Linked DNA regions of Arabidopsis thaliana. The protein of the gene in region 1 interacts with the protein of each later gene in a biochemical or structural test. Each region holds a gene or a part of one and is shown on either strand. Other genes may lie near its edges.

Region 1 (6,971 bases):
TTCTGTGATGATTTCTTACGCTTTGTATCGGTAAACATAATTGGATTTGCGAGAAAATATCAGCAATGTATAATTGTGTCACGCACAACCGGTATGTGGCAGCCTCAACATTTGAAAGGTACTTAATACTTATGAATATAAATGATAACGACGAATCTCTGCATAAATATTGTTTATGAAAGATTCTGACAGATCTATGGACGTTGTTTTTTTTTGCGTAATTTAAACTGGCCAAATAGTAGTAAAACTAGAATTTATTTTGGTCAAGCGGAATATAGTTTTGACAGATTCTAAGAGATGAGTGATTCAGGATTTTTATATTCAAATTACCAACGAAATAACTGATAATATTAGCAGATTATTTTAAGCTTAATCGATGGACTAACTGAAACATTTTTTTTGTCAAATTTTTGATGTTGTTAAGAGTAATTTTCGTTCATGAGGTTCCAATAACTCAGCTCAGCTCGCTTCACTTGAGTGTCAAATCCATGAAGAACATACTTCTAGCAAGACGTTTCCGCCTCGGCTGCACACGTCTACTATCCCAATGGTTCTCCCATGCTTAGCAAACTCAACTAGTTTCAGTTTCTATGTAATAGTTATCTACGGCTTTTTAATTTTTTTTACCATAAAAGCTCCTTGCCCCCAGCTTTGTAAATAACCTGTTTCCTTTTGGTAATATAATTCACATTTTATCCAAAAAAAAATCCATGAAGAACCAACCTTTCAATATATAAAAACAAGTTAATCCATGGAGACAGTCATTGATTAGTGAACATATTTCTAATAAAAGTTAATATGCATGGCTAAGAGAACAAAAACCATTTATCATGGTAGTTTATTTAATTAAAATTGCAAAATTATGAATCCAATATTTTGTTTATTATTGATTTTTTTTTATCAAAATTAGACTCGTCTCTAGTTTATGCGGAAAAATTGAAATATTTTTTTTTATCATTTACAACATTTATACACTATAGTAGTTAACAGTTATGAAACCGCAATGGAAAGATATAATATTTTACTAGTAACACTTTCTTTCTGATTTGTGAGTTAGCAAAAATATAAAAATGTGTCATTTGGTGTTTTTATAATGAAAATATAATAAAATAACAGATTAATTACAACCAATCTTGTCAAAAGGGAAGACAATAAATAAATACCAAAAAATGATGGAATCCACTCTTCTTCAAGCTACAATAGATATGAATGTTGGCACTGTTTCAAGGCACCCAAAAGTAAAAGTTAAAATTCAGCCAGAGAAAATGGTTAAAAGAAAAGTAAGCATACACATATTAGACTTAAACAAATAGAAAAAAGGGAAACAAATGTAACATAGAAGCATGCTAAAGTAAAAAGTGGGGGGGGGGGGATCAATAAACTGTCAAAGTAAAATTAAAGGCCATTACTTTCACATAAATGTTTAATTAATTTTTTTCAACCTTTTTGGAGATTGTAAAAAGTGCCGCGAAAATCTAAGAAATAAAAAAAATGGCAGTTGATAACGTTAGAAGAGGATTAATTTAAGCCTTTAAAGGGAAATAAATAAACTAAGCAAATTACTACTTTCCACAAAAACTAACAAGAGGACAAAAATAAAAAAGGCAAAGATAAATAAAAAAAACCTGAATTAAAAAAAAGATACCACAAACAAACACATATAGTAATAAAATTTTAATTTTGCATTATTAGAAGTACGCATGACTTCTCTCTGAAAAACAGATTGGTAATAAAAAAGAAAAAGAAAAACAATAAACGAAAACTGAGAGAGAGATTGAAAGAGAGATCGAGCGGAGGAAGATTCTTCCTCCAATTACCATCTCTCTATTTTTACGGGAAGATTCGTAAAATTAGTGCCATCAACCCAAAAAAAAAAACGAACCGGATCGATGAAACTTACAGTGCAAAAACACCATTTCCGAGAAGAAGAAGAAGACGAAGAACAAGACCTTCGTTGAGAAACTTTATTTGAAAAAAAAAAGAAACGATTTTTATTGGTTAAAGGGACAGACCTCCTTTTGGTGGATTGGCTCCGTGATCCAATCCTCGGAATTGTTTTTAAGGTGACGGAACAAATTTGTAAATCTTGTTTTTGGTATTGACCCAGATCTTTGGATAAATTTGAAATTTTTATTGGTTGTTTTTGATTTGAAGATGCAGCATAATCTCTTCACAACAATGCGAAGTTTGAAGCTTGCTGAAGGTTGTAAAGGTACACAAGTTTACGCTCTTAACCCATCAGCTCCTACTCCGCCTCCTCCTCCTGGTAATAGCAGCAGCGGTGGTGGTGGTGGTGGTGGTAGCGGCGGTGGCACCGGAGGTGTTGGGGATAAGCTTTTACAACATCTTTCAGATCATCTTCGTGTTAATTCTGTCCGATCTAAATCAAGCCGGACTTATCCTCCTCCTACTCAACCAAACGCTGTCGTTTCTCCCGAGTTTCTTCTCCCTTGTGGACTTCCTGTTACGGATCTGCTTGAACCTCAAATCGATCCTTGCTTGAAATTCGTTGATTTGGTTGAGAAGATGGCTCAAGTTTATCGTAGGATTGAGAATTGTTCTCAGTTTGAGAAATCTGGGGCTTATTTAGAGCAATGCGCTATCTTCCGGGGCATTTCTGATCCGAAACTGTTCCGGCGGAGTCTCCGGTCGTCTAGGCAACATGCGGTGGATGTTCACGCGAAAGTCGTGTTAGCCTCGTGGCTTAGGTTCGAGAGGAGGGAGGATGAGTTGATTGGAACGACTTCTATGGATTGTTGTGGCAGGAATTTGGAATGTCCAAAGGCTACTCTTGTTTCTGGTTATGATCCTGAATCTGTTTATGATCCATGTGTTTGCTCTGGAGCTTCTAGATCAGAGATGATGAATGAAGATGAATGTTCTACTTCTCAAGAAGTAGACTATGATATGTCATTTTGTATTGGTGATGAAGAGGTTCGTTGTGTGAGGTACAAAATCGCGTCTTTGTCCAGACCTTTCAAGGCGATGTTATACGGTGGGTTTAGAGAAATGAAACGAGCCACGATCAATTTTACGCAGAATGGAATCTCTGTTGAAGGGATGAGAGCTGCAGAGATTTTCAGCAGGACCAACAGGTTAGATAACTTCCCTCCTAATGTTGTCTTGGAGCTTCTTAAGCTTGCAAATCGGTTCTGCTGCGATGAATTGAAATCCGCTTGTGATTCGCATTTGGCACATCTTGTTAATTCTCTGGATGAGGCAATGTTGTTGATTGAGTACGGATTAGAAGAGGCTGCGTATCTTCTGGTGGCAGCTTGTCTTCAGGTTTTTCTCAGGGAATTGCCTAGCTCTATGCATAATCCGAATGTTATAAAGATTTTCTGCAGCGCCGAGGGACGGGAAAGACTGGCGTCTCTTGGCCATGCTTCTTTTACATTGTACTTCTTCTTGAGCCAGATTGCGATGGAAGATGATATGAAATCTAACACAACTGTGATGCTCTTAGAACGTCTGGTTGAATGTGCGGTGGATAGTTGGGAGAAACAGCTTGCGTATCACCAATTAGGAGTGGTGATGCTAGAGAGAAAAGAATATAAGGATGCTCAGAGATGGTTTAACGCAGCGGTTGAGGCTGGCCATCTTTACTCTCTCGTGGGTGTTGCCAGGACTAAGTTTAAGCGTGACCACAGGTACTCGGCTTATAAGATCATCAATTCCTTGATTTCGGATCACAAGGCTACTGGGTGGATGCACCAGGAAAGGTCCTTGTATTGCAGTGGTAAAGAAAAGCTGCTTGATTTGGATACAGCTACCGAGTTTGACCCTACTTTGACATTCCCCTACAAGTTCAGGGCAGTGGCTTTGGTGGAAGAAAACCAGTTTGGAGCTGCAATCGCAGAACTGAACAAGATTCTTGGATTCAAGGCCTCTCCTGACTGTCTAGAGATGAGGGCATGGATTTCTATAGGTATGGAGGATTACGAGGGTGCTTTGAAAGATATTCGGGCGCTTTTGACATTGGAGCCAAATTTTATGATGTTTAACTGGAAAATCCATGGTGATCATATGGTGGAGTTGCTCCGTCCGCTAGCCCAGCAGTGGAGCCAGGCTGATTGCTGGATGCAGCTGTATGATCGTTGGTCTTCTGTGGATGATATTGGATCTCTAGCAGTTGTTCATCATATGCTTGCAAATGATCCAGGGAAGAGTCTTTTACGGTTCAGACAGTCTCTTCTTCTCCTACGGTATAATCTAAACCTCTCTTTCCGCTTCTCAATGAATTTTTTTTCTTGTGGTGCATGTTGTTTTAGACTGTAAGTGATTTTAACAAGTGCTGGTTGTATACTGACAGGCTCAATTGTCAAAAGGCAGCAATGCGTAGTCTAAGGCTGGCTCGAAACCATTCAAAGTCGGAGCATGAGAGACTTGTGTATGAAGGATGGATACTGTATGATACAGGCCACCGCGAGGAAGCCCTTGCCAAAGCGGAGGAATCCATTTCCATCCAAAGGTCGTTTGAAGCGTTTTTCCTCAAAGCTTACGCCCTTGCAGACTCTACGCTTGACCCGGACTCCTCTAATTATGTGATTCAGCTCCTTCAAGAAGCGCTTAAGTGCCCCTCAGATGGTCTCCGTAAGGGACAAGTAAGTAAAGAGTTCAACAGTTTTCATTTATGTAATTCAATTTCTCAATAAGTCAATTCCTTTTCTAGAGGGTTTGTTGGATCATCCTTCAGACTGCCATAGTATCAGAATCCCAATGTAAAACTTTTTGTTCTTGGTGCCTGGAATAACTTGTTGATAGTGGAATGTGGTCGCATCTCAGGAGCCAACTCTCTTAAAAACCGTTTAGTATATTTGGTCAAAAGGTTATCCTACTAAATCATATGACATTCAATATCATGAACTCCCGTTTGGTGTATTTGCTTGCAGGCATTGAACAACCTGGGGAGCGTATACGTGGATTGTGAAAAGCTGGATCTTGCAGCTGATTGCTACACAAACGCGCTCACCATCAAGCATACACGAGCTCACCAAGGTCTTGCACGTGTTTATCACCTGAAAAACCAACGGAAAGCTGCTTATGATGAAATGACAAAGCTAATAGAGAAGGCTCAGAACAATGCGTCGGCATATGAGAAGCGCTCTGAATATTGTGACCGCGAGATGGCTCAGAGCGACCTTTGCCTGGCAACACAACTTGACCCTCTCCGAACCTATCCTTACAGATACAGAGCCGCAGGTATGTTAATGACACAACCAAGTTCTTGTTTATCCTCCTTTTGTCTGTTGTTTATAATTGGATGCCAGAAACAAGACAACAATGGCTGATCCTTTCTGAGGGATTCTCCCACGTATAAAAGTGTTAGAAAAACGTAGAACCCAGCTTATGTGGTGATGAAAACGGAAATGATAATTTGTGACCCCAACACATGAAAGAAATGAGATTTCGATCATCTTTCTGGAGATAGAAACAGAACTGCGAGTGTTATATACTTCTGTACTTATACCGAATTGATATGCAGTTTCTCTGGTTTGGTTTTGGTGAATTTGAATATGAAAAATAGTTTTGCTAAGACCAGAGTATCAAGTTTTCTTTTTAAGTTTCGCTTTGTTTAACATGAACTCTTGGTTGCAGTTCTTATGGACGACCACAAAGAAAGTGAAGCCATAGACGAGCTTTCGAGGGCGATATCATTTAAACCAGATCTTCAGCTATTACATCTACGAGCAGCATTCTATGATTCAATGGGAGAAGGAGCGTCTGCTATAAAAGATTGTGAAGCAGCATTATGTATTGATCCAGGTCATGCAGATACACTCGAGCTCTACCACAAAGCTCGTGAACCAAACGACCAAAAGTAGAACAAAACTATCAATTTGGTTTGATGGGCAAAAATATTTCTCTTCTTCCCTCCTGGTATGGCTTCTACACTGTTTCATTTTCCTTGTGCAAAACAGAACTTGGAGCAAATCAAAGAAAGCTTGGTTTGAGTGAACCAGGGAAAAAGCAAGCATAGCCATGTAAATAGAAACTTTTTTATATATTATTTTTTTTTCTCTATAATTTTGGTTATTGGGGGGTGAGAGGATACTTTATAAGTAGTGCAGAGAGTGTTTCTTGCTGCTAAAGATAATACGTTTTCTGGCCAACAAAAAAAAGGGAAAACCACGAAGAAGAACTTACCTCTGGTGAAATTGGACTTCTTCTTCTGTCCTATTTCTAGATGTATTATTGCTTCTTTCTTTTTATTTATTTTTTTCATCACTGGAATTATGTAAAATTGTATCTGTAACTTCTTCACCTTTTTTTTTTTTACATGTTTCTTGTATTGATTCTCCAAAAGCATCCGGGGATTTGTTTTTTATCCTCCTGAAACAAGAAAACAAAGAAACTATTCATTCTTCTTACATTTCAACATGTTTCACCAAGAGTATCCTCAATATTTCAACATTCTTTTTTATCACTTGATGAGGAAATCATCTCCTTACTTCTAGATTTGGGTTTGAGTTCTTGTTTGGTTTCATGATCGATTTTATCACCACATGGTTGGATTGGAAACTCAACTTTTTCCAAAGCTCTCCTGACCTGTGAACACAATAAAGAGGCCACAAATATCGGTTTTGCATACACGAGAAAGTTTCAAACTTTCAACAACTTCTCATTAAATTTCAACTTTCAGCTAACAAACTAGAAAAGAAGAGTGTCAACACAACAAAGATCTCTCCCAAACTCACAATTTTGCCTTCTTTGGGTCGCAAACAAGAACATACCCTTCCCACTCAGATGATTTTGTATCTTACGGTTGAAGAAATGATGGATATTAACCGATCCCGAAGATTGAACTTCAATGCTCCATTCTTGTCGACGAAGCGCCATGTCACCCAAGAGAAGCTTCCGGGCCAGTTTCCGGAAGCTTCTGTTCCATTTTGCTGGGAAACCGCTCCCGGGATGCCCAAGAACTCGTCTCATTTGAAAAATGACGCTGAATCTGAAACGCCCCGGCTCAA
Region 2 (4,594 bases), on another chromosome or scaffold:
AACGTCGCCTACAAATCTGGGGGTATAAGTTATAACCAACGGCCACCAACATGGGTTTTGATATCGTCCACCTGATTTTTATGTTAATATAACTCAATTTGATTGATTAAATATTATGCTCTTATACTAATCATTCTAGGTCCAAAACTGAATCACTCATTGCACATCATTTTTATGATTTTTATTTTGAAAATCTCATGTTTCAAGAAATATTTGTGCATTCTACTAGTAGCTTATTTTAAATAAAGTTTCGAGTTTATATAATAAACAATATGTTTATTTCTTTGATTTGTATACATTTTAAAAAAAAAAACAGGATGAAGATATATACAACTAAAGCTCAATTCAACTAGTAGGAAAATTGTATTCTACAAAAAATTTGTGTTTATGTTTTTATTATGATAACCATCCAAACTCATTATTTCACCCATGATCAAAGTAACTATATCAATATATCTGCAACAATATCTGACTCAACATTTATTTTTACATAAACTGCGGACCAACACAATTATGCTAAACTATCATCATTTATTCTATTGGTATTGGAGATCAGTCTACGTCAGTGAATACCGCATAATTCACATGAAACTAACTCCAAAACCCTTTAACCAAAAAAAAAAAAAAACTAATTACAACTCCGGTTAACCTGTCGATAATTACAAGACTGAAAACATCCTAGTCAGTAAAAAACATATTTGTATGTATCCGATCCCACCAAATAAATAAGTTGTTGTCAATGATAGAGGAAGAGAAAACGAAAAAAAATTGCGGACCAAGACATTTGGGACTACTAGAGTTTAGGGAGCATAAATGGTCCTATTTGACTTACCCTCTACCGTATAAATAAATGTATTTTAGCCGTATAAATGTATACATACGTAGATGCATAGGTATACAGGATTACTTTAGACGATTTGATGTCGGTATGACATTACATTTGACTCCCCTAGCTCCACTTGTCTCTGTTCATTTTTCTTGTATGTCATTTCCTTGTTTTCCAATTTTACGTTTACCACCCTATTTTATTTTGTTAATATTTTCTAAGTCAACGTGTTGACACTTAATTACAGAATCTGATAACTAAAGTTACATAAAATGCTCACAGTTTTTTTCAGCAAAATACTCACATTATACGACATATAAAATTTTAGCAGTCTATAAATAGTAATTATTTGGCATTAGTATTGGACAAGAAGTAGAATATAAATTAATGTTGGTTCTTTTTTCTATCCAACTTCACACAGCCAATTTTGTAGCTGACATCGTGAATGGACGACTAAACTAATCATAAGCATAGTGATTCAGTTTATACAACAACAACAAAAAGTTAATTACATTTGAGGTTTCTTTTTAAATTGCTATGTTTGGTCCCTAAATGATGGTCATAATAAGGACGGTCCGGCGGTGACGGAAACGCGTAAAGACTAATCATTTTAGTACTATTAATTTGTAGAATTATTATTAAATATGCTTGAATCCTAGAAAACGATCAAATAAATTTTGGAAAGAAGCTCAAAATGTGTTATTTAATTTTGTCCCTATGTAGAGCTGGTTTTTTTATTTTTATTTAAACATAATCCTAAGATTTATTGCTGTATGTGTGAATGCAATAATAAATAGAAACTCAATAATAGATCATTCTTATTTTCAAAAAGAAACAAGAACTACTGCAATGTTTTAATTGTTTATTTTGTATTAAATAATATAGCTTGTTAATTATTGGAGATCGCATTAAATAATAAAAGAAGTTGTCTCACATGTCTTGGAGAATATTTACTAAAAACTATGGTAATGTCTGGACGGTCAAAAAAGTCTCTCTAGTTTCTGATTCTGTTGTCACATTTTATTTTTGAAATTAAATGTCGTTAGATTATTATTATCTATATATATATATATCCCAACAGACCCATTGCTTCTCCAACCACATCTCACTCTTCACCAACTTAAACCCTAATTCAAGATCTCTTCTTTTCGTTCTCTCCTTCACCCACATTAGTCTTCTCTACGACCAAAATCTCTTGACTTTAAAAACAGAGAATGAAACAGCTTTCGACAAAAGTGACAAGCAATGGTCATGGACAAGACTCATCCTACTTCTTGGGATGGGAAGAGTACGAGAAGAATCCTTATGATGAGATCAAGAACCCTAATGGGATGATCCAGATGGGTCTAGCCGAAAACCAGCTATGTTTCGATCTAATCGAGTCATGGTTAACTAAGAACCCAGACGCGGCAAGTCTCAAGAGGAACGGTCAATCCATTTTCAGAGAGCTTGCTCTATTTCAAGACTATCATGGCATGCCTGAATTCAAAAAAGTAAGCTTCTTTCATTTTTCTCAAATTCAATAAAGAGAGTAACCTGACGTGTATCACAAGTAATGAATCCATTTCTCATGAACATTTTCTGTCATTTTTTACAGGCTATGGCTGAGTTTATGGAAGAGATAAGAGGAAACCGTGTCACGTTCGATCCAAAAAAGATTGTTTTAGCGGCTGGTTCGACATCTGCGAATGAGACTCTCATGTTTTGCCTTGCAGAGCCTGGCGATGCTTTCCTTTTGCCTACTCCTTACTATCCTGGGTAAATTACACTTCTCCTCTTTACTTGGATTCCAAGTAAACCCAATAGAAATATATGCTTACGTCTAGGCTTTTTTATGATTACAGATTTGATAGAGATCTTAAATGGAGAACCGGAGCAGAGATAGTACCCATTCACTGCTCAAGCTCTAATGGCTTCCAAATCACGGAATCAGCTCTGCAACAAGCTTACCAACAAGCCCAGAAACTTGATCTCAAAGTCAAAGGAGTTCTTGTCACGAATCCATCTAACCCACTTGGCACTGCGTTGACCAGACGTGAACTTAACCTTCTCGTTGACTTCATCACTTCCAAGAACATTCATCTCATTAGCGACGAGATCTATTCAGGCACTATGTTCGGGTTTGAACAGTTCATAAGCGTAATGGATGTCTTGAAAGACAAGAAACTCGAAGACACGGAGGTTTCAAAACGAGTCCACGTCGTTTATAGCCTTTCTAAAGATCTGGGACTTCCTGGTTTCCGTGTGGGAGCGATCTACTCCAACGACGAAATGATCGTTTCAGCAGCTACAAAAATGTCAAGTTTTGGTCTTGTTTCTTCTCAGACACAATACCTTCTCTCTGCATTGCTCTCCGACAAGAAGTTCACTAGCCAATACCTCGAAGAGAACCAGAAACGACTCAAGTCCAGACAGAGACGCCTCGTGTCTGGTCTTGAGTCTGCAGGGATTACTTGCCTGAGAAGCAACGCGGGTTTGTTCTGTTGGGTCGACATGAGACACCTTTTGGACACAAACACATTTGAAGCAGAGCTTGACCTCTGGAAAAAGATTGTTTACAACGTGAAACTAAACATATCACCCGGTTCTTCATGTCACTGCACCGAACCGGGTTGGTTTAGGGTTTGTTTCGCTAATATGAGCGAGGACACACTCGATTTGGCCTTGAAGAGGCTCAAAACTTTCGTAGAATCCACAGACTGTGGACGAATGATATCAAGAAGCAGCCATGAAAGGCTCAAGAGTTTGAGGAAGAAGACAGTCTCTAACTGGGTTTTCCGGGTTTCATGGACCGATCGTGTACCTGATGAACGATGAAATTATTCATCTCCCTAAGTTTGAGACGACGAACAAAAGAAAACTTCACGGTTTTTTCTTCTTCTTTATTTCCTTCATTTTTTATATTTTGGGAAAGTATTTTTAATTTTCCAAGATATCTATAATCATATCATTATATATGTAATATTTTTTTTAATGTTTGGGTGAGTCTTTAATTTATGCAATTTTTCGGGTGTAAAATTGTTACTATGTGTTATTATATGTTTTTAATGCACTCAATCCGAATGTGGATTTGCAGTGGCTATATATATAAATAAATATATATCCCGTTGTAATTTTAGTGAAACGTTTGTGTGTATTGTACCCATATATAAAAATGTAATTCACTCTTTTTAGTTTATATATATTTTGTTTTATAAATATGGGTTTCTTTAATTTTATGCTCTATCATTTGGTATAGTTTTTGAGTTTGTTGTGAGAATTCTCCTCTGACTATAAGGCTATAAAGATCGTGTTAACGTTGTTGGTTAAGGACGTTAGTTGAGGCATATCAAAAGGAGGCTTAATTTAATGTCAATTAACTAATTAATTAATCATTATATGGTAATATGGCGGGAATTGTCGAATTGGTCAACTGAGAAAGCAAAAGGGGAAAGTCAAAGGTTTTCCACTTAGGTGAATCAAGAGAGAAGGTATGATCTACTTGTCGAAAATATTCGATGAAGCCTAAATAATTTAGTTAAAAATCGACTAAAACCCATTAACAATTTCGGGGTAAAGGTAGCTTCTAGCGTTCTACGGCAGTAAAGTTTTGAGCTTTGAATAGGTACGTTGCATTGCGTAAGAATGTTCACGTCACATATTTGAACTAAAATTACAAGTTTACAACGAAATCCACATTTTTTTTTTGTATAATCAAAACTTACTCTATCAGGATTAACGTAATTATAAGAAAAAAATGAGCAACTTATGAGAAACCGAAATCTGTAT
Region 3 (5,498 bases), on another chromosome or scaffold:
CCTGTAAAACGAAGTAGAAGAAATCGAAATCTTGGGCGAAACTTTGTACGTAGAGTTGTTGTAACGCTAGAATAAAAATGAAGAATTTCATTTCCTCAAGATATCAAATAATTTGTGGGAATCAAATTTGTCGAAAACCAATGAAGGATGGATGATAGATAAATAGTTTAGAATATGTTTATATAAGTCATATAACGTGAAGTGTGATATTTTGTTTTGGGTAGAGAGACGTGACGTGTGATTGGTATATGTTTGCTTAATTGTGTTAGGTTAGTATTTCGTGCAAGCATTTTATTTTCAGCTCCAATGCTTTAAAAAGTAATAACGTAAGGCAAACTTTTCATCATGCTTCAACTACAAAATTATGAGTATTTTGTAGCTCCAATTAACGTAACGTAAGGCAAACTTTCCAGCTCCAATGTTTTAGAGCTAGCCGAATATTATGTGTCTCAGTATTTATAAAATTATGAGTATTCGATTGGAAAAATAAATAAAGAAACTCTTATAGTATTCACTTAAAGACCTTTGTTTCTTAAATTTTAAATATTTAAATCCACTTAAAGATCCTTGTTTCTCATAAAGTGTTAAAGACCCATAAAGGCATAAATCAAACCATTGTCCCGTCTCGGAAACGTACGTCAAGTTTCTTGATGAGGCGCATGTTGGCTACTTGGTTCTACTTCTACAGTTACAGACTCCAGTGTGTACCGTATTCTATCAAGTTCTGCATTTATGCAAGAACCTTAGGTATCACAAATATTTGGGGGCAATAAAATTATAAAAATTCCTTACAGTGCAGCGATTTATGTCACATTTTCAGCCAAGAGGTTGTGTGTTCGAGTTCCCTCAACTACTTCTGCTAATTTTTTTATTAAAAAAAAAAAACTTTAGACCGCCCATAACTTTGAGCCGGCAATGATCCTACCTCACAATCATACTAAAATCTACCAATGATCCTTACCATGTTTTGGCGCTTGAGGTGGATACGAATAATCCACTAGTTGGGTTAACCTTATAGGGAAGGTGAAGATTGTTATAAAGTTTGTAGATTATACAATGAAAAGTAAGAAGATAGGTCCAAGTCAAAGTTTGTATGATTAAAACAAGAAAGATGGTATATACCATGCGTTGCTTTCCAGAAAATGGCTTCAAGAAAGCAAAGACAAAGAATATCATCATGAGCTTGACCAGGGATAAGGAAGAAGATCCATTGACGTGTTTACAACGACAAAAACTAGTTAGAAGTTAGAACATAGTGTCGCTGAAGTTGTGGAGGAAATGCATTTTTTAAACAGATGCATAGAGACGATTGAATATGGCATCGAAACAGTGAATGCAAGCAACAAAGGTTGGTAAACTGGTGAAGAGAAAGGTAACAGACGATATAACTTTTTTTGTGAATGAATTAAAAGGGATTTTTTTTTTTCGTCAAGAAGCTGAAATTTCATTAAACCGAAACTTAAACCGATACATAAGTTGGTACAATAAGTGCATAATTTAATGCAGATTTTGCATATGCATATGCACAACCGTTTTTTTCTCTAAAAATGAAGTGAAAAGAAATTTGATCGAAATTAAACGAAAGAGCAAGAACATCTTGGAAAATCACGTAGAGATTCTTTGGGAAGGATTCTGAGTTGATAGCTTTGATCAGCGTTTGCAAATCTGAAGCGAAGGTGACTTCCTAAAACCGAGTTCTAAGGCATTTTGTTGGGCTAGATGAAGCGCCATGGCTTCTGCCAAAAGAGGAGAAGCAACATTCGCCACTCTAAGGGATTCAAAGCCTCTTTATGAAATAGAAGTTGACATATTTTTAGTTCAATTAAATGAAATGACCGACGTGCCAATTTGTCATATCCACATAAGTATAAAAGCTAACTAAACCTCCAATGTCAAAAAAAAAAAAATAACTGGCTTCGACTAGGGATCGATCCTTGGACTTCGATATTTCACAATTCTTTGTAACCAATATACCAAAGGACGAGAATGTGACAACCGCGACTTTAATTTAATAAATACGTTATAGTTTGGAAACCACCAGCAGAGACGGAGAGTCCACTTTTATTTCTTCCGCTCCGTTTGGTCTGTCCTCTTCTTCTTCTCCACCTTCGAAATCTATCTTCTCCGATACCTCTCTATCTATATCTCTTCGACGCTGCAAATTAGCCTTAAGCTTCTTTCTCCTTTAAACTTTTCGATTATTATTCCATTTCCTATCTTTTTGTTTCCCCCAAATCTTTTCACGGAAGCAAAGAATACAATTCCAAACCCTAATCCCGATCATCCGTCTTTCCTCTCCGGTCAGTCTTCCGATTTCCTCGATCCACCTGATTTTCATTATGATTATACATATATACTTTCTTCTCGCTCGTCAATTTTTTCGTTGCTGTGTGAATTTAGATTGATTTGTTTTGGATTCAGGTTTCAAAATATGAGTAATCAGAAGAAGAGGAATTTTCAGATAGAGGCGTTTAAGCATCGAGTCGTTGTGGATCCCAAATACGCTGATAAAACTTGGCAGATTCTTGAGCGTGCGATCCATCAGATTTACAATCAAGATGCTAGCGGTCTCAGTTTCGAAGAACTTTACAGGTCAATTTCTTTCATTCTCTTGCCTTTCTTTGAATCCTGTAGAAACTGGTAATGTTTCTGGAACTTAGCTAGGTTTCGTGTTAATGGAATTATTTGTGTATATTGTGGCTCAGAAATGCGTACAACATGGTCCTGCACAAGTTTGGTGAGAAGCTATATACTGGGTTTATTGCTACTATGACTTCTCATCTCAAAGAAAAATCCAAGCTTATCGAGGCAGCTCAGGGAGGGTCGTTTCTAGAAGAGCTTAATAAGAAATGGAATGAGCACAACAAAGCGTTAGAGATGATTCGAGACATTCTCATGTATATGGATAGGACTTATATTGAGAGCACCAAAAAGACTCATGTTCATCCGATGGGGCTTAACTTGTGGAGGGATAATGTTGTGCATTTCACTAAGATACATACAAGGCTTCTAAACACTCTTCTTGATCTAGTGCAGAAGGAACGGATAGGTGAAGTTATTGATAGGGGGTTGATGAGGAATGTCATTAAGATGTTTATGGATTTGGGTGAATCTGTGTATCAGGAGGATTTTGAGAAGCCGTTTTTGGATGCGTCTTCTGAGTTTTATAAGGTTGAGTCTCAGGAGTTTATTGAATCTTGTGATTGTGGGGACTATCTGAAGAAATCAGAGAAACGCCTTACTGAAGAGATAGAGAGGGTAGCGCACTACTTAGATGCCAAGAGCGAAGAGAAGATTACTAGTGTGGTTGAGAAAGAGATGATTGCCAACCACATGCAGAGACTGGTTCACATGGAGAACTCAGGTCTGGTTAATATGCTTCTGAATGACAAGTATGAGGATTTGGGTAGAATGTACAACTTGTTTCGCAGGGTTACTAATGGTCTTGTTACTGTCAGAGACGTTATGACTTCGCATCTTAGGGAGATGGGAAAACAACTGGTTACTGATCCGGAAAAGTCAAAGGATCCGGTGGAATTTGTACAACGTCTATTGGATGAGCGGGATAAATATGACAAAATCATCAACACCGCATTTGGCAATGATAAAACCTTTCAGAATGCCCTGAATTCTTCATTCGAGTATTTCATCAACTTGAATGCTCGTTCTCCTGAGTTTATCTCCCTGTTTGTTGATGACAAGCTACGGAAAGGACTTAAGGGTATCACCGATGTGGATGTTGAGGTTATCCTTGATAAAGTGATGATGCTGTTCCGTTATTTACAAGAGAAAGATGTCTTTGAGAAGTACTACAAGCAGCATTTGGCTAAAAGGCTTCTCTCAGGCAAAACTGTGTCAGATGACGCAGAAAGGAGTTTAATAGTGAAACTAAAGACAGAATGTGGCTATCAGTTCACTTCAAAATTGGAAGGCATGTTCACTGACATGAAGACTTCAGAGGACACAATGCGTGGGTTTTATGGCAGTCACCCCGAGCTTTCAGAAGGACCTACACTTATTGTTCAGGTACTTACAACTGGTTCTTGGCCAACACAGCCTGCAGTACCTTGTAATCTCCCAGCTGAAGTTTCAGTTCTCTGTGAGAAGTTCCGTTCTTACTACCTTGGGACACATACCGGTAGAAGATTGTCCTGGCAAACAAACATGGGCACAGCAGATATCAAAGCCATCTTTGGAAAGGGTCAGAAACATGAACTGAACGTGTCGACTTTCCAGATGTGTGTTCTCATGTTGTTCAACAATTCTGATCGACTCAGCTACAAAGAGATCGAACAGGCTACAGAAATCCCGGCAGCAGATCTTAAACGCTGTTTGCAGTCGCTAGCTTGTGTAAAGGGCAAAAACGTGATAAAGAAAGAACCCATGAGCAAAGACATAGGAGAGGAGGATTTGTTCGTTGTGAACGACAAGTTCACTAGCAAGTTTTACAAAGTGAAGATCGGAACTGTGGTTGCCCAAAAGGAAACAGAACCGGAGAAGCAAGAGACGAGACAGAGAGTGGAGGAAGACAGAAAACCTCAGATTGAAGCAGCCATCGTAAGGATCATGAAGTCCAGGAAAATACTAGACCACAACAACATAATCGCCGAGGTGACGAAACAGTTGCAGCCACGGTTCCTAGCTAATCCCACGGAGATAAAGAAGAGAATCGAGTCGCTCATTGAACGAGATTTCTTGGAAAGGGATAGTACAGACCGGAAACTTTACCGCTATCTAGCCTAAATAAGTTGAATACCACAACCCAAAAAAAAAAGGCTTTACTCTGTTTCTTTCTTTGCTTTATTTCCTTATGTTTGATGTAAAATCTTTTGAACTGTACGGTAGTCGGTAAGAACGAACCAACACAGCGTCACTACCGGTTTAATCGAATATACATTTGTTTCCTTTTCTTTTGTCTTTCATCAGATACCGTATGTGATTTCAGCTTCTGGACACGTTGGGCCGGCTCGAGGCCTTTTAAGGCCCATTTTAAACGGTTAAGAGCCAAAAAAAACATTCGCGGCTAAAATTTCAACCAGGCGTAAAAAAATCCCGCCAAACGTTGGCAACGCTTTGTTTATAGCGTTTTCATAGCCTAATCGGTTCCATTGACATTTCTAGGGGAAAAAATCTCTCACAGTGTCTGACTTTGGTTCTTTGTCTTGTAACAATCGCCGGAAAATTAAGGATATGGATATCTCCGACATAGGTAGGAAACTTAGTCTCGATAACAACAAGCTTTTAATCAGAAAAGCTGCAGAGATCCGCCGTCTTTGCGATGCTCAGTTCGATTCATCCATCATCGGCGTTGTAAGATAAATCCGATTCTGAATCCCAAAGTTTCACATCGAGTACTTTGATTATAATTTTTCCTTATGTGTTGAGAATTTGATTTTTCTATCAGGGTGAGATCTGTAAAGCTGTGATTTGTCTAGAAATCGCCGCCACTAGGTAAATAATTATCGTAATTGATTTATAACGATTTCAATATCCATAGT

Evidence for each region.
Region 2: the proteins of ETO1 (region 1) and ACS5 form a complex in vitro, tested with the Arabidopsis thaliana proteins (one study listed by BioGRID).
Region 3: the proteins of ETO1 (region 1) and CUL3 form a complex in vitro, tested with the Arabidopsis thaliana proteins (one study listed by BioGRID).

What each region holds. Positions count from the first base shown.
Region 1 is NC_003074.8:19,199,182-19,206,152, reverse strand, and holds ETO1 (tetratricopeptide repeat (TPR)-containing protein), read left to right. Parts: upstream 1-1,688; 5' UTR 1,689-2,063; intron 2,064-2,154; coding exon 2,155-4,205; intron 4,206-4,312; coding exon 4,313-4,604; intron 4,605-4,892; coding exon 4,893-5,202; intron 5,203-5,598; coding exon 5,599-5,825; 3' UTR 5,826-6,403; downstream 6,404-6,971. Other genes in the region: AT3G51760 (hypothetical protein (DUF688)), read left to right, coding at 6,748-6,971. UniProt on the Arabidopsis thaliana protein: Essential regulator of the ethylene pathway, which acts by regulating the stability of 1-aminocyclopropane-1-carboxylate synthase (ACS) enzymes.
Region 2 is NC_003076.8:26,330,145-26,334,738, reverse strand, and holds ACS5 (ACC synthase 5), read left to right. Parts: upstream 1-1,926; 5' UTR 1,927-2,040; coding exon 2,041-2,319; intron 2,320-2,423; coding exon 2,424-2,584; intron 2,585-2,670; coding exon 2,671-3,643; 3' UTR 3,644-3,993; downstream 3,994-4,594. UniProt on the Arabidopsis thaliana protein: 1-aminocyclopropane-1-carboxylate synthase (ACS) enzymes catalyze the conversion of S-adenosyl-L-methionine (SAM) into 1-aminocyclopropane-1-carboxylate (ACC), a direct precursor of ethylene.
Region 3 is NC_003070.9:9,293,632-9,299,129, forward strand, and holds CUL3 (cullin 3), read left to right. Parts: upstream 1-1,933; 5' UTR 1,934-2,300; intron 2,301-2,421; 5' UTR 2,422-2,431; coding exon 2,432-2,592; intron 2,593-2,705; coding exon 2,706-4,743; 3' UTR 4,744-4,998; downstream 4,999-5,498. Other genes in the region: RNS3 (ribonuclease 3), read right to left, coding at 2-91; ORC6 (origin recognition complex protein 6), read left to right, coding at 5,191-5,310, 5,405-5,451. UniProt on the Arabidopsis thaliana protein: Component of the cullin-RING ubiquitin ligases (CRL), or CUL3-RBX1-BTB protein E3 ligase complexes which mediate the ubiquitination and subsequent proteasomal degradation of target proteins.